3 linked regions of the Oryzias latipes genome follow. The protein of the gene in region 3 purifies or fractionates together with the protein of the main gene of each other region. This does not show direct contact. Links are inferred from orthologs where the notes say so. Each region holds a gene or a part of one and is shown on either strand. Other genes may lie near its edges. The genes, in order: narfl, ireb2 and fam96a.

Region 1 (5,696 bases), on a different chromosome or scaffold from region 3:
CATAAGAATATCGATTCAGGAATTTCTCAATCATTTCAACATTTTCTGAGTGAAGATTATAGACTCAAGTTGATTCATCAATACTTTAAACATAGTTCCAGATTTAGCACATACCTCTTGATTAGCAGTGTGGTCAGTCTCCACCCGTTTACAGTCGTTATGTAACTTGTGCTGGATAAATGCTTCAAGCGTGGAAAATTCGGATTGACAGCGTCCACACTTGTGTACATCGTCTAAAAACACAAAGACGAAGCATATTTAGCTACCATTAGCTTAAAAAACTATCTAGCACCAAAAAGCTATCACCTGCTTATCTGGGCATCTTTTAAAAAGGCCGCTGACAACTCAAACCTGCAGCAAAGCCGTAAACTAGATGTTGCTAAAGACGAATTAGCAACAATTTCGCGATGGAGGAAGTTAGCAAGGCCCAAACTACGGACAAAAAACCCTGATTTTGGGAGTGTTTTGAACTGGCTGAAAACTAACCTTCATCTCCAAGGGTGGTTTGAATGGTGATAGTCTCACTGCCGTTCGTCGTTCGCTCCTTCTCTGTTTCTGCCGTATGATTATTTTCTGCATTCATGTCGTTTGACTTCTCCGTCTCTGTCGCAACGCTGTGCTGGGGAGGGAAAACATGGCGGATTTACGACCCTGTAGTCATAACAACAAAAGAGCGCATGCACTCGCATGCAGAAGATAAAATAATAAACGAAACATTTAACCACAAAAATAAAAAGGCATTCAAAAAACGATACATTTGTTATTATTATTATTATTTATTTTTTATTATTTTTTTGTTGAAAGAAAACGTGATAAAATCGTTAAAGCTGTCGTCATTTATATTTGGATTTTTACTTATATTTCATTTGTATTTTTGAAAAAATATTACTCTATAAATGTTCCAATAGCGATAGTAAAAATATTGGCATTTATATTGACAATGCACATTTTACTACATAGAGATGCAGTATGTCAAACACACAACCATCATCACGAATAAAATGTCACCTCTTAGTGTAAACCACAAAGATTTTCTATTTAAAAAACATTCCATTTTTAAAATTACTCTTGAATTATTTAAGACTCTTCAAATTACTGTATGATATATTTTAGGATGAGCATCTGACATCTTTTTGTCAAGATTCTCTCAAGGCACTTCACAAAAAGCAAACTGAATGAAGCAATGTTGTTTTATTCAGACTTTCCCCTAAAGTTGTACTAGATTGTTCAGTATAGGTTGTTACAATCTGACCAAAATTCCTTTGTTGTATTTATATTTTGTCCCTAATTAAGTGACCAACATATTCTAATACAGGTTCTTTTGTGTGTTCCACTTGACATATAACTAATAAAATGCAAACTTTAAAAAAAAAAATATTACATCTACAGAAGAAACTGTGCAAATACAAACAATTAGCACAATCAAGTTAAAAGTTGTTCTAACTAATAGAAAAAATCTTTTGACAAATTACAAAGATATAATCCATTTGCAAATCTGCAAATTAAATTACACAAAAAAGCCTTTGTGATTTGTGAATACGATTTGAATAGATACAACATAAAACAACCCAAGTATTTACCAGATACTGTGGTAAAAAAAATGTATTTACTTATTTTATCTTAGTTGACAAATGTTGCACATACAGAACATGCATGGCAAACCCATTGACTGTATGAGAGAATGGGGCAAACTATTACTATTAGTGGAGCCTGAACGTGCTCTTCCAGACCAGCATTTCACGACACAAGAGTAAACAACGGGTTTGCGGCAGTAACTATGGCCTCTGTCTTCAGCGGTGTACTGCAACTGACAGATCTGGACGATTTTATCACCCCTTCCCAGGTCAGTGTCAAAAATAATACTTAAGTTTATTCTAGAAGGACATTACAAGCAGAGGAGTTTCGCTTATTTCCCAATCAAAATGCTAAAAGCTCAGTTCGCTCTTAGGGAGCTAAGCTAGCATGCTCTGGTGGTGGTAGTTGCTCTTGTAAGTGCTGTTCCTGGAAGAAGAAACCAAAACAAACAGATTCTAGTTAGCCTTTACGTTAGTAAACATGTAGTGTTCGTTTCTAGTTTTTACATATATTACTTTCGTCTAAAATTACAATTCATTGGCAGCAAAAATAACGAATCGGTTAGCTTTTGTTTTGCTAATGGTAACACAGATGTCAAAACATGGAAAGAAGTTGCAGTATTGATCGGACTTTCAAACAGACAAAAGTCAAAACACATGGATAAAACATGTCTTTACTTCATGTATTCGTCATTCATCCTGTTGCCACTGACTTTTGTTTTGAGCTCCTGTAACCCCAGATGCTTGAATGATGCCCCTGTATCCCCTCCAAACTTATGACTTCTCAAGACGAAAATAACACTTAAAGGCCTTGTTTTCTCCACCTACATTTGGTCAATGATAAACTATTACTAATTCAATGTGATCAAATCTAAGCTCTCTGATCATTCTGACTTTTGTGGTGTAAATTTGCTTACAGTTCTCCCATCCCATTTTTGCATGTTGACAGAAACTACGTATCAGGTTCAACGGTTGTTTACCTTTTTGTTTTTTTCATATCTGTGTTTTTCGTTAGGAATGTGTCAAACCAATAAAAGTCGAGAAGAAACAAGGCAAATCTGTGGCCAGAATACAGATAGAGGATGATGGTAGTTATGTCCAAGTCAACCAGGTGAGGATTCACACTTATTTTTGCCTTTTAGTCTGAGGTATTTGAATCATGAATGGACTTCATAGAGCAGACTGTCAGAGTACCAAATGCAATAATTTAGTATCATGCTCATGGAAGTGTCTTGTGTTGAAAGGATGGCGGGAAGGAGAAGCTGGAAAAAGCAAAGATCTCACTGAACGACTGCTTGGCGTGCAGCGGTTGCATCACCTCAGCTGAGAGTGTCCTCATCACTCAGCAGAGCCCCGAGGAGCTTTTAAAAGTGCTTCGGAACAACAAGGTAGAGTGTTTTGCTCAGTTTGTCTACTTATGGTTGGGTTTGTGTTCCGCTTAAGTCTTCGTTCCCCCACAGGGTGCAGCAGAGCAGAAGACTGTGGTGGTGTCCGTGTCCCCGCAGTCCAGAGCGTCCCTCGCTGCACACTTTGGTATCAGCAGCAGTGAGGCAGGAAGGAGGCTCACCTCTTTCCTCAAAAACCTGGGTAACGTTTCCCTCTTTTAATGTTTCATAAATCAAGTTGAAGCAGTGGCTGTGTACGTGTCTGAAAGATGGTCGCTTTTTTTTACAGGGGTTCACTATGTGTTTGACACCAGCTTTAGTCGGACCTTCAGTCTGCTGGAAAGTCAGAGAGAGTTTGTGGAACGTTTCCAGAGGAAGGGACAGGACAACAAGGCTCTGCCCATGTTAACCTCCGCCTGTCCAGGTACGGACATAGAGCTCCATGATAGAAAATAGAAGCCAAAACTTCACAACTTCTTTGAAAGCTTTTAGCTTGATTTGAATGTGGAACGGAAACCACATTTGTGTATTTATTTTGTTTTTGAAGGCCTTCTATTTCGTATTTTATATATTTATCAAAGCCTAATAGTGAATGTTCATGACATTATCTTTAGCTCCAAAAGCTTAGACAGAGTTTTCAATCGGAATCTCAGTATCACCACTTTGTTTCAGGTCCTTGACGTTTTTTAAGGGTATCAGTTTACGCTCTTCTTTTCTCTGAAAACGTCTCTGAAAGGTTGAGGTCAGGACTTTTGCTGAGCTGTTGTAGCAGCTCAACCCCCCCCACCCCCCACCCCACCATGCTGTTAATGATTTGCTAGGGTGTTTGGGATTGACTCACATTTGACTTTGCGATGTTTGACCGTCCAGTTCATGACTGAAGCTGTGACAGCAGCTCTCATTAAAACTAAAAAAAGACAATTAGCACAACTTTTCTATAGGCTTTGGTTAGGAATGAAATAGTTGGTGCATCAAACGCTTTGAACTCCATTCAGACCAAAGTGTGCGTTTATGTGTGTTCAGGTTGGATCTGCTATGCAGAGAAGACACACGGGGAGTATATTCTCCCATATATCAGCACCACCCGCTCCCCCCAGCAGATGATGGGGTCTCTGGTTAAAAGCCACTTTGCAGAAAAGCAGGTGGGGTTTGGATTTCTCCGTTCTGTAAATATTTCAATAAAGACTAACTGAGCTGGATCTGTTTGTGCTGTTAGGGGCTGAGTCCTCAGCAGATTTACCATGTGGCTGTGATGCCCTGCTTCGACAAGAAACTCGAAGCGTCACGCTCAGATTTTTTTATGAACAAAGCGGAGACCAGAGAAGTGGATTGTGTCATAACGTCTGGTACAGTAATTACCCTTATAAGTAATACTTAGGTGCATATGCAGCATCCACATGGTTATTTGTCTGTCCTCTCTTCAGGAGAGGTTCAGAAAATGCTGGAGGAACATCATATTTCTCTGAATGATGTTGAGCCTGGAACTCTTGATTCGATGTAAGTTCCCTCTTTTTTTAAGAAAACTTTATCTCTCAAAACTCTTCTGATGCTGCCTATTTTTACCCTCAGGTTCAGCAGCGTCTGTGGGGATGAGCTCCTGAGCCACGCTGGCAGTGGATCCGGAGGTTACCTCCATCACGTCTTCACCTATGCTGCTAAGCAGCTCTTTGGAGAAGAAGTAAAGGAGCTCACCTACAAAACTCTAAGGTTTGCTCACCTATATAAATTGTGTCTTTTTACAAAAAAAACAAAAAGTTGCTTTTCTCATCTTCACTCTTGTTCGATGGCCCAGGAACAAAGACTTCCAGGAGGTGAGACTGGAGAAAGATGGGGAAGTTCTGCTGTGCTTTGCTGCAACATACGGATTTCGCAACATTCAGAACCTTGTGCAGAAACTGAAAAGGGGAAAATCCCTGTACCATTTTGTAGAAGTTATGGCCTGTCCATCAGGTATGATTTTTTTATAGTTGGAATAGATTAAAAAAAAAAAATTCTAACTTTGATGCAGATACGATACTTTTATCCTTCTTTTTATTCTCCCAGGCTGCCTTAACGGAGGCGGACAGATAAAGGCAGCCGCTGGTCAGAACCAGAAAGAGCTGCTTCAAAAAGTTGAGGAGCTGTACAAGGAAGAGCGCCCCCTACTGCCAGAGGATGACACTCGCGTGGCAGAGATTTACCAAACATGGCTCCATGGCGTGGGAGAAGACAGAGCCAGAGAGCTGCTGCGCACACAATACCACGCTGTAGAGAAGATGACCAACGGACTCACCATTAAGTGGTGATGAGTCAGCAGTATACCGCTGAGAGTCCCAGCTGATGATCCCTGTGCCTCAAGATGACCCAAATGTCTTTTTTTGGTTGTTCAAAGTATAAAAACAATGCTTTAAAAAAGATAATTATTACTCTTTTATTTAATAGTTATATGTACATATGCTTTTGCAGAAATAAAATGACCACAAAAGCTAGTTATTAACTGATGTGCTTTTTTTAATAGAAATTTTTAATGAACAGTTAGTTTTGTATTAGAAAGCAGCAGAAGTTGCAATGACAACAAACAGTTTTCTTCTTTACCCTGTTGGTAAAAGTTCAAATAAAGTAGAAACTCTGTACATAAAACAACAACAAGAAAAACATATTACACTTAAATTCTAACAACATTCTTGAAGAAATTGAATTTTTAATGATCTAGTTCAACCAACTTAGCCCTTGTGCTATCTTAGATGACCCCACCCTT
Region 2 (5,239 bases), about 9.3 Mb from region 3:
GTTTTTTAACTGTCCTTTATTGTTTTGTATTAAGCCTCAATATTTTTTTGATTGAAAACATTTAGAAAGATTGTTTTTAAATGTAAAATATATTAAATTATAAAAATATCAATTAAAATGGACACTAACAGGCTCAGAATGTAAACAAGCTGAACAAAACCTTTGACAAAACTAAAGTCTTGCAGCATAAATCCACACATGGTACGGTCTTTTCTTTTCTTTAGACATTGCATTTTTATTTGGGAGTCCCAAAAAGAAAGACTAAGGATCCAGATCCAGGTTCAGTGTTTTTACATGTTTTATTAATTTAGTCATTTATATTTAGTCTTTCTTTTTTTATGTATATATTATGTAGAATGTATGTAATATATATATTATATTTGTATATAACTTTAAATTATTTTATTAATTTAACTTATTTCATCAAAATATACATTTTAATTTAATTGTAGTGATAATTACTTGTCATCACTCATGTTGAAAACGTGTTTTTCTAACCAAACAAAAGCATTTTCTAAAGTTTAAATTATCCATTGTTTCATTAAGCACAAATAAACCAGTTGGACTTTGAGCGTATGAATGACATTTTTTACTGATTCACTGTTTGAGCACTTCCACTTCTAATCATTTAGCATAATGAGATTATATATTAAATAACTCTCGGCTACGTAAACAGGCATTCCTGATAACGGGAGAAACCCATGTGATGCTTTTTGTAGCACTTTAACTCTTTAGGCTCGTTTAAAGGCGTGCAGAAGTTAACGCTGTATTCTAATGTTCTTGATCCCTAAAAAATAACCCCTTCTTTCTTTTCCCATTCTGTGAACTTTTTCCCCAACTCTCTGCATGTTTGGGAATAATCAAACACAGGCTCTTTATGTTGTTGATGGGAAAATATCCACTTCTTCCTTCATGACGTCTCCTGCTGCTGACGGTGTATTATTTAGAAAATGCTCCGAAACACGGGAATCCCAATATTCCTGTTCTTTCTGAACGTATAATTATGTCATTAAGGATATGACCCCACAGACTGAATGCTCTCTATTAGGTAAACTTAGTCACTGGTGTTGAGCTCCCTCAGCTTAAAGCACCAACAACAAAGTCAGTCAGCTGATTGAAACAGAACAGGACGTGGACTGCAGCAGGGGTTTTTCAACCTTTTTGGAGCCCAAGTACACTGTTTTCCTCGACAAAAATCCAGCAACCAAAAAAAAAAAAAGAGAGAAACTCTATGGTCTGTATTGATGTCCGGTCTGTCCACCATCTTGGTAGCATTTTTTGTAATAATTGAGGCAAAAATATTTTGAAGTTGCAGCTGTTTTTCCTAAAAGTTGCGATAATTTTCAATAATAACTTCTAACTTGAAAATAGTTGTTTTTCCTCTAGAGGAACTAGAGGAAAAACCTGTGGAATTATAAAAGTTCCAGTTCAAATCGGACTTTTACCACACAGTTGTAGTAAATAAATTTCTCATTCGTTCTGCTCCTTAGCTTCTTGTGAACAATGAAACGTTCCAGCGCAAAGAACTTTGTTTTTCTCCTTCCCACCTAACAAAAAAAAGGAAAACGATTCCTCTATTTCTGCAGGAGTTCTTCATATTTGGAATCATCCAGACCTTTCCTGAACACTGTGTTAACGTTTCTTTTGCACTGCTTTCTCAGCACTTGCGGCAGGCTGGCATCGCTGGGAGGTTCGTTGAGTTCTTCGGACCCGGAGTCTCCCAGCTGTCGGCTCCTGACCGGACCACCATCGCCAACATGTGCCCGGAGTACAACGCCACCGTCAGCTTCTTCCCCATCGACCGAGTCACACTCAAGCACTTTAAAAAGACAAGTGAGCCGCTCAGCGTTTAGCTGTAAAACCCGGACGCTTTGTGCTCAGTCTGTTGGGTCTCGGTGATTAAAGCTGTTGTTGGAACTCGCTGTTGCAGATTTCAGCCATGAAAAACTTGAATTGATGGAGTCTTACGTGAAGGCAGTCAAACTTTTCCGAAGCTATGAAGAACCTCCGGAAGACGTCCAGTATTCCGAGGTAAACTCCCCAAAATCTGCTCCTCCGTATCTAAACACTTTTCTTTCATGTTCCATCGTTCCTACATGGCTGCTGTTCTCCGGAGCGTTTGGCGCACCTCTTTCCACAACGAACTGATAGAAAAGCATTGATGCCTTTGCAGGTTATCGAGATCAACCTGAGCTCCATGGTGCCCCACGTCAGTGGCCCCAAAAGGCCCCAAGACAGGGTGGCGGTCAGTAACATGAAGGCAGACTTTCAGAGTTGTCTGGAAGAGAAGGTGAGCTGCAAAAGAACGCACACGGGGGGTTTAGTCAGGCCGAAGCGCCGCCTTTGACTCCTCACAAACGTCTCTCTCCATCCCAGGTGGGCTTTAAAGGTTTCCACATTTCCAAGGAGAAGCAGGAGACTCGGGTCCCCTTCCTGCACTGCGGTCAGGAGTACCAGCTGGTGCACGGCTCGGTGGTCATCGCCGCCGTCATCAGCTGCACCAATAACTGCAATCCGTCTGTCATGCTGACTGCAGGTGGGGGCCTGACTGACGCCATGAAGCGCTTTAGAAGTGATTGATTTACTGCTAGAAAATAAAAAAAAGCTTACAAACTGGTTCATAAAAAGCCACTGATGTCAGTGGTGGAGGAGAAGTAAAATAAGGAGCGACTCTACGTTCACACTGAACAAGATTTGCTAGCTTGTCTAAAAGTCTTTGTAAAGCTTTCTCTCCTGCTGTGTGTGTGTGGAGCTACCGTCAAAAACGTTTGGCTTTATCTCTGCATAATGGAAGACATAAATGATGTTTAGAGTTCACGTTTATTTGTTTTCAGGGGCTCTACAAAAGCCTCTGTAATCACGTCTCCATGTCTGGGTTCATGAGATTCTCTCAGTGCGGTGAGCTTCACCAAAGTCTGCTGCAGGAGCTGCGTCTGAATGTCAGCCGCTTTCAGCGGTACCTCCGTCTCTCTGTGAACCAGTTAACGACCTCCTGTCCCACATTAGTCCAAGGAGGGAAATAATAATAAATAAGAAAAGTATGATAAAGTTCAGGGGGAGAAGGTTCAGAGTTTTCGCCCGAGTCCAGATATTTGAACTCTAGAACCATCGGGATGTGTAGCAAAATCTTTAGCCTGAAACACGCTGCTGCTGCAGCATGTCTGACACTCAAAACCTCCAATCGCATTTGACCGGTGACTCCTTGCATTCGGTGTGAACGCAGCTATAGAAGACAAACTGATGATAAGATCGAGACAATCTTGTTTGAAAACCTCTTGTCTTCGTTCAGCCAGTAAGGGATCCTTTCAAGGCAGAATCTCCACTTCAGTAGAAAAGCATGTAGGATTTGATTTTTATGCCAAGTACTTTTATTTCAGCTGTTTAGGCTTGTTTTACTGATTGCAAACAAAAACATTTTTTAGCCTCTTTTATGCCTCATGCTCCTCTGTGCTGCCCATTCTCGCCTACAGACCATTTTATTGATTTAATTCTCGTCTTATTTTGCAGGTCTTCTGGCCAAAAAGGCCGTGGAAGCCGGCCTCACTGTCAAGCCTTACATCCGGACCAGTCTGGCTCCTGGAAGTGGGATGGTCACTCACTACCTCAACAGCAGCGGCGTTCTGCCTTACTTCAGTCAGCTGGGGTAAAACCACTGGAAACCACTGCTCTGGACCTGCTGGAAGTCAATGTTTTAGAGATTTTCTGTCCTCTGATGTCACTCCACTTCTACCAAGTTTAAAACAGATTCTATTCCATCTGATAGTTGCATAAAATCTGTTTTTTCCCCCTGTAATCTGACTGAACAAAAGCTATGTTTCTCAACCTGAAACTGGAAAAAAGGTGCTCTCTATCGCTGATTGTATGTTTGGATCCTTTAATTCTTTTTTCAGTGATATGATTATGTTTTCTCTCAGAGAGATAAGAGATGAAGAAACTTTATTAATCCTGAAGGAAATTAAAAAGCGGCCAGCTGCTTCCATTCAACACACACAATAAAAAAAATAAAGCCATAAAAGCCATCAATATTAAAAGCCATTAGTTTAAAATAGTAAAATATTTCAAATCTATGATAAATCCATAAAACTTCAAATTCAACGTTTGTTGCTCACTGGGGGAGTTTTTCCAGTAAACTTTCAGATTTGGTCTTTTTATTTTTTCAAGTTGTCTGGACTTATTTCACTAACGTTGGTGTTTATATCTCCACAGGTTTCAGGTGATCGGTTACGGCTGTGCCACCTGCGTTGGAAACACAGCACCGTTACCGGACGCCGTCGTGGACGCCATCAAACAGGTAGTTTTCCACCATCTGTGATCCTCCTCTGTGCTTTTTTTCTATTTGCTTGTTTGTTTTAACCCATTAATAATGAACGTCTTCATTTCAGGGGGATCTGGTGACCTGCGGTCTGTTGTCCGGCAACAGGCACTTTGAAGGACGCCTGTGCGACTGCGTGCGTGCCAACTACCTGGCCTCCCCTCCCCTGGTGGTGGCTTACGCCATTGCGGGCACTGTGGGAATCGACTTTGAGAAGGAGCCGTTAGGTAAGGGCGGGGATCTGCGTGTGAGGATCATGGGAGGATTTTGGTGCTTAAATCACAGTGAATGGGCTTTTTGTGGTGATTCAGTGTGCTGCACACACACACGTTTATGCAGAAATGACTGTTTTCTGCTCTGTTGTGCGTCTGAACGCCTCAAATCATCCAGCCGGCGCCAGCTGTACAAGTTATTTAAGAAACATGACCCGATGTTTGAAGCCACTCAAAAAAAAAGCTTTTTTAGACACTCAAGTTGATCAAAATCTGCCTTCTTCACACTTTTTCATCTGATTCAACAATCTCCCTCGCTGTCTTTTAGGTGTTGAGGAGAAAAGTAAAGTTTTGGTTTTAGGATGATCCTTCCAGGTTGGGTAATCTCCGACTTTGCTGAAAAAGAACGTTGCCAGCAATTTCTGCAAACTGAGCCTTTTGTGTTTAATCCTTAAAAAGACATTTTGTAAAACTTGACCTCATCTTTAACACCTCATGACAGCTGACCTTGTTTTTTGGTTTTTGATAAGGATGCTGGTCCTCTTGTCCTGCTGATGGACAAAAAAAACCCTGTTTTTGACAACTAAAAAAAAGAAATAAGAAAAGAAAAAAACCACATACATTTATATCTATATATATATATAGATATATATATAGATCAGTAAACCCTTGTTTTTCGGGGGGGTTACGTTCCAAAAAGAACCCCTGATAGACA
Region 3 (5,239 bases):
CGGGTGACTGAACTTCCCATCCTATCTCTAAGGGAGCGCCCCGCCCCCCTACAGAGGAAGCTCATTTCAGCCGCTTGTATTCAGGACCTCGTTCTTTCAGTCAAGACCCAGAGCTCATGACCATTGGTGAGTACTGGAACAAAGATCGACCGGTAAATAGAGAACTTTGCTTTTAGGCTCAGCTCTCTCTTCACCACGACGGACCGATAGAGCGACCGCATAACTTCCTTCTATATATTTTTTCAATTCTATTTTCAACATTGACCAGTCTTTAAATAGCTGGAGAGCTTTTTTCAGCCAAACAAACAAACTGGCTCTGTTGTGAGATGCTGCTGATAAAGTTGCATTCACAGTTGATTCATGACTTTTATTATATTTAAAATGATCTTTTTTTTAATGACTGTCCAATTAATTAAGTTTGTTGTATTAATCTGCCACATCTTAAAGTCTGGTCTGTGAAAATATTTTCAGACATTAAACCAGTTTGTGGTCACATACTTGTGACGCACACAAAACAGCTCATTGACATAGCATCAGAGAATCATAGCATGGGCGAGGGAGGAGCTGCAGACAAAACAAGACCCTTTTCAGTATGGTCTCCATACAATTACAATATCATTAAGTTCAGGAGAACCACAAACTGCAATCATCTCCTCTTCCATCAGGTGACCCAATGCAAAGCTTCACCAAAGTTCAGCTATTTGCACTCTGTGACAGAAACTTGGCTGCACAGCACATTGTTTCCAGAGTTCAAATATCTGAAGTTTTGCATTGGGTCACTAGATCAGGAACTACGCTTTGGTATTTTCGTGTTGATCTTATTAGCGGCTGGAGTCCAAAATCAAATGGAGGAAGAGTTGATGATTGCCGTCGGTATAAAAGGGTTTATATATTTTGCTAGAAATGGTATCAAAATAAAGATTAGTCCACAAAATCTTATTTTGTGGGATTTTCCACCAAAACAATAGCAAATATCTACGTTTTGTTCATGGCAGGCAGATAATTAAGTCACCTGAGCTAAGAAAGCTCGTAGAAAAAGAAACTAAAACGTAGCCATCTTACAATTTAAAGCCTGTTTTTGTAAAACTATGTTTGTCCCTGTGGCCAACCCAAAAACCTTGGAATGGTTTTGATTCTTGTCATGTCACAGACAGTGAAGATGCAGGCATCAGTAGAGACTGTCTGACAGTCTCAAAAGCTACTGCACGATGTGTGATGAGATAGGACCTTGCCAGAGTTTTAAACCCTATTTTCAGTATGGATCCACAGTTAAACATGGGGGGGCAGGGCGGTAGTTGTTTGATCATTTGTTGAATTTTGAACTTCTATCCAAGCATTCATTCTAAAATACACTGTATTGTAATATGGTATATACAGTGCTGAGCACTGTATATACCATATTACTACAGACAATGAAACTAATAATCAGAGGTGGATTTGTAATCAATTAATCTATTGCCATAAACTTTATTCCAAATATTTTGTGTGTACAATAAACAAAATGTGACATTTTTCCCTTAGAGGAAAACTTCCCCTAAAAAAGACACAAAGATGAACAGAAAAATCAATATGTGCATACCATAATGAACTAATGATGTGGTCAAGTTTGCACATTTAAAGATTTTGGCTCCCAGATTTGTAATTAACATTCAGTGTGTCCAACAGCATCTGTAGTGTGCGGAGCATATGACAATAAGATTGAAGAGTAACAATAAGTGCAGATCACTTTTTTCTAACATAGAACTGCATTCATTTTCTGTTCCTAAACCAACGGCTTATTTTTACAAAAGAATAGCAAAGTGTTTGTTAGAAACTCTAAAAATGATTCACTCTCAGCCTCACGTCAGTTTTTATGTGGGGATGAAAGTGTGACTCTCAAGTGGGAGGAGTCAAAACCAAACTCAGACTTTTTCCAGTTTGTGAAACAGCTCATCTTGAATTTGGTCAGGATTTCTATTGAGTTAGCTTTTTGGGAAAAGACCCTGGGAATAGAATGTGCCTTTAGTTACTTTTGTTTTTAAATGTCCTTTAGCCCCCCCACCCCCTCAGACAAAGACTGACACGCAACAGCTTTAATTCATTTAAAACATCTAAAAGTACAAATCATTTTTAAGAAAATCAGAACTTCTCAAGCATCAGTTTAAGTTTCTCTCCGCAAAAACATTTTCATCATTTTCCCTCTTGCGGCATGAGAAAAAAAAAAGGAAAAAGGGACAGTTGTTTTCCTTCTGGGTCAAAAAGGTCCAACCTGATCCTGTCCTTTGCTCAAATGGACAATTCAATCACGCACAAACACACACTGAGGCTCAGTCGTCTGGTTCCGTCACGCACTGCTCCACGATCTCTCGAAGGTTGGGGTTCTCCATAGCGGCGGCCACTCGCTCCTTATCATTGATTTGTTTGTTTACTGGTCACAGAAAAATATAGAAATGACAAAAAGTTGCATGAAAGCATCCAAGCTCGTGACAAATCAAAACAGGGAACATGAGACAGACATGCATGTGTCCTGATGGAGGGAAGTTTCATGACAGCAGAGAAACTTACTGTCTTCCTCTGTAGAATGGGTTCCTTCTGAAAGGTAAATTTCCAGCTTGAAACAAAAGACAGACAACAGAAAATTTCAGTTTACGCTGAAGGAAAAGAGGTGAAGGTCTAGAGACAAACTGGTACTGATGATAGAGAGATGAGACACTAGGCCTGCACAATATACCGCAAATTTATCGTTATCGCAATATCCAGCTCTGCAATATGCATATCGCAAAAGATGGCGAATATCGCAACAAATCGCAAACCCAAAATGTGTTAAAACAATCTTCTAGCAGCTTGAAGCATTTAACGAATCAAATAAATCCCTTTATGCTTTGACCAATCAGATGGACGCCTTCCCATTGTTGACCAATCAGATGGAGGCCTATTATGTTAACCCTGGTCCTGAAGAGCCTCAACCCTGCCTGTTTTCCAGCTCTCCTTAACCAGCTTGCTGTTGATTGGCTGACTCAAGTGATTTCACATCCTGATTGACTGAACACACCTGATTTTGGTTATCATTATCGAGCAGTCTAGGGCAGGGGTGGGCAATTCCAGGCCTCGAGGACCGGTGTGTCTGCATGATTTCAAGATAGCCTTTCCCTACTCATGGCTTATTACCTGGTTCAGGTGTGTCCAGCCAATTAGAACATGCCAGAGCAGGGTATGCTGGAAAACATGCAGGAATGCGGCCCTCAGTGCCCACCTCTGGTCTAGGGAGAATTGGAAAACAGGGTTGAGGCTCTTGAGGACCAGGGTTAGCCACCCTGACGTTTGTCCCCCATGTCGATGAGGGTCATTTGGAGTATAATTTTTAAACTGTTGCAATGAAATGGGAATGATGTTTTTGTTTATTTTTCTATTTGTTTATTTACCGCAAATTTATCGTTATCGCAATATTGATCACTAATATCCCATATCGCAAGTTTTCCTCATATCGTGCAGCCCTATGAGACACTAACTTCCCTTATCTGCCTACTCACTGCTTTTAGAACCAGAACCAGGAGTTCCTATTTTCCAAATATACTTATGTTCAGGTGTTGAAGCTAACGTGGTGACCTCTGGAGCAGCAGTTCTTAAACTACAGTAAGTGCAATCTTGGGGTACACAAAAAGCCATGGGGGTATATCAGAGGAGAAAGAGAAACAATCAGAAATTGTAATTCGGTTTAAAATGTTTGATTGGCACGTGACTAAGTTTTCTCAGAGCAATGCTGAATTGGACAATTGGATATTAAAAAAAAAACATCCAACTCCAGCTTCGACAACCAGTCAGCTCTCAGCTGAAGACATTCTTACCATGACCTCATAGGTTAAAAAACGTATTTATCAAATCGGTTTGCTAGCACTGATGAGTCTATAGGCAGCAACTAGCACGGCCAGTGATGATCCTGTGGAAAGGGATGAGTGAAGAGTTGAATGCAGAGCCTTGAACCTAGAGAGAGCATGTCGCCTCAGACTAACTAACACACATCTGGGGCTGGCGGCGCAGTAACGTAGTCACCTCCAGGAGACTTGACGGCTCACATGACTGGATACGTAACCCATTTACTGCTGTGCCTACTTTGGTTTCAGGATCTGACCAGGAGAACCTAACAGAGAATCCCACAGACAGGTCTCTGTAGGCAGAGTTTACTTCTAAAACCCTGGCATATTTCTGGATAGTACAACGGAATGAACAGCCTGTGCTGGCTAAGCGTGCTGTCAAGACTGATGCTTTTTGCCACCAAATAACCTGTGCAAAAGTGGACTCTCTTCCATTCACACACGAAAACTAAATACAGATCATGACTTTGGGTGGAAAGTGGTTTAAGACTCAGCCTTTCACAGATTGAGCCAAACAATGAAGAACTGTGTTCATCTAAACAGCACATCCATTACAAAGTGATGAGCTCCACTTGAAGTGGTTAAGTTTGCATCTGTTTTTCTGTAAGCATGCGCAGTGAATGCAGGAAGGAAGATGCATGTGTGGGGCAGCGTGCAGCTGGACAACAGGAAGGCTCACCTTGTGTTTGAAAGGCAAACAGCGCTGCAGCTTCACTTGTAGGCACAAACCTGCAAACATAGCAAGGTTCAGAAGACAACCGACACTGGAGCTTATTCCAAGAAAGAGGCCCAACTTAGCCGAAGCTGTATAGGCAGAGTTTAAGCTGGAAACATAAGAAAAAAAATTGACCTGTTCTAACTAGGACAAGTCTGAATTTGTCACACAGACACGAGAATGTCATCATCAGGGAAGCTCAGATTTAGGGATTAACCATAACAACAGATCAACAAAAACCCAATATTAAATGTATGTTATAGAAACTAACTGAAGCCTCGAAAGTGTCTTTTCCAACAGAGCTTTCAGCCTCACACGATGATTTGACATGCTAAATAATATCATTTTTATAATGATCTTATAATTAGTTAAGAATATGGTTTTCCTTACAATAAAAATGTGTGACAAACATGTATGTTCAGTATAGCAGCTGGAACTTTTTGAAAGTGTTATTAGTTCAATCCAACAATGTATTTTTGTGCTCATTAGGACCGCTCTGATTATATACAATGATTTCTAATGAATCACCCCTGCTGTGAGTCTGCATTCCTGAGCATAGTCCTTATCTGTTTGTGGTACAGGCTGTTTACAACTGCAGCTGCTTGGCTCCAGTGATCACAATCACTGACCAGAACCAGCCTGTTCACGGCGGCAGACCCAACACCCTGACCCA

The links.
Region 1: the proteins of fam96a (region 3) and narfl purify together in Homo sapiens (affinity purification with mass spectrometry; 4 studies listed by BioGRID and IntAct, with this or other methods). This does not show direct contact. The link is inferred for Oryzias latipes from reciprocal best matches to the Homo sapiens genes CIAO2A and CIAO3.
Region 2: the proteins of fam96a (region 3) and ireb2 purify together in Homo sapiens (affinity purification with mass spectrometry; 3 studies listed by BioGRID and IntAct, with this or other methods). This does not show direct contact. The link is inferred for Oryzias latipes from reciprocal best matches to the Homo sapiens genes CIAO2A and IREB2.

What each region holds. Positions count from the first base shown.
Region 1 is NC_019866.2:12,257,093-12,262,788, forward strand, and holds narfl (cytosolic Fe-S cluster assembly factor NARFL), read left to right. Parts: upstream 1-1,719; 5' UTR 1,720-1,777; coding exon 1,778-1,843; intron 1,844-2,589; coding exon 2,590-2,685; intron 2,686-2,818; coding exon 2,819-2,962; intron 2,963-3,034; coding exon 3,035-3,161; intron 3,162-3,248; coding exon 3,249-3,383; intron 3,384-3,982; coding exon 3,983-4,101; intron 4,102-4,175; coding exon 4,176-4,305; intron 4,306-4,383; coding exon 4,384-4,456; intron 4,457-4,528; coding exon 4,529-4,666; intron 4,667-4,751; coding exon 4,752-4,909; intron 4,910-5,002; coding exon 5,003-5,244; 3' UTR 5,245-5,432; downstream 5,433-5,696. Other genes in the region: transcription factor E4F1, read right to left, coding at 115-233, 487-583.
Region 2 is NC_019864.2:10,478,719-10,483,957, forward strand, and holds part of ireb2 (iron-responsive element-binding protein 2), read left to right. Parts: intron 1-1,661; coding exon 1,662-1,833; intron 1,834-1,930; coding exon 1,931-2,031; intron 2,032-2,173; coding exon 2,174-2,290; intron 2,291-2,376; coding exon 2,377-2,536; intron 2,537-3,507; coding exon 3,508-3,643; intron 3,644-4,206; coding exon 4,207-4,291; intron 4,292-4,382; coding exon 4,383-4,539; intron 4,540-5,239. UniProt on the Homo sapiens protein: RNA-binding protein that binds to iron-responsive elements (IRES), which are stem-loop structures found in the 5'-UTR of ferritin, and delta aminolevulinic acid synthase mRNAs, and in the 3'-UTR of transferrin receptor mRNA.
Region 3 is NC_019864.2:1,197,621-1,202,859, reverse strand, and holds the end of fam96a (MIP18 family protein FAM96A), read right to left. Parts: intron 4,581-5,239; coding exon 4,531-4,580; intron 2,591-4,530; coding exon 2,545-2,590; intron 2,408-2,544; coding exon 2,307-2,407; 3' UTR 1,448-2,306; downstream 1-1,447. UniProt on the Homo sapiens protein: Component of the cytosolic iron-sulfur protein assembly (CIA) complex, a multiprotein complex that mediates the incorporation of iron-sulfur cluster into extramitochondrial Fe/S proteins.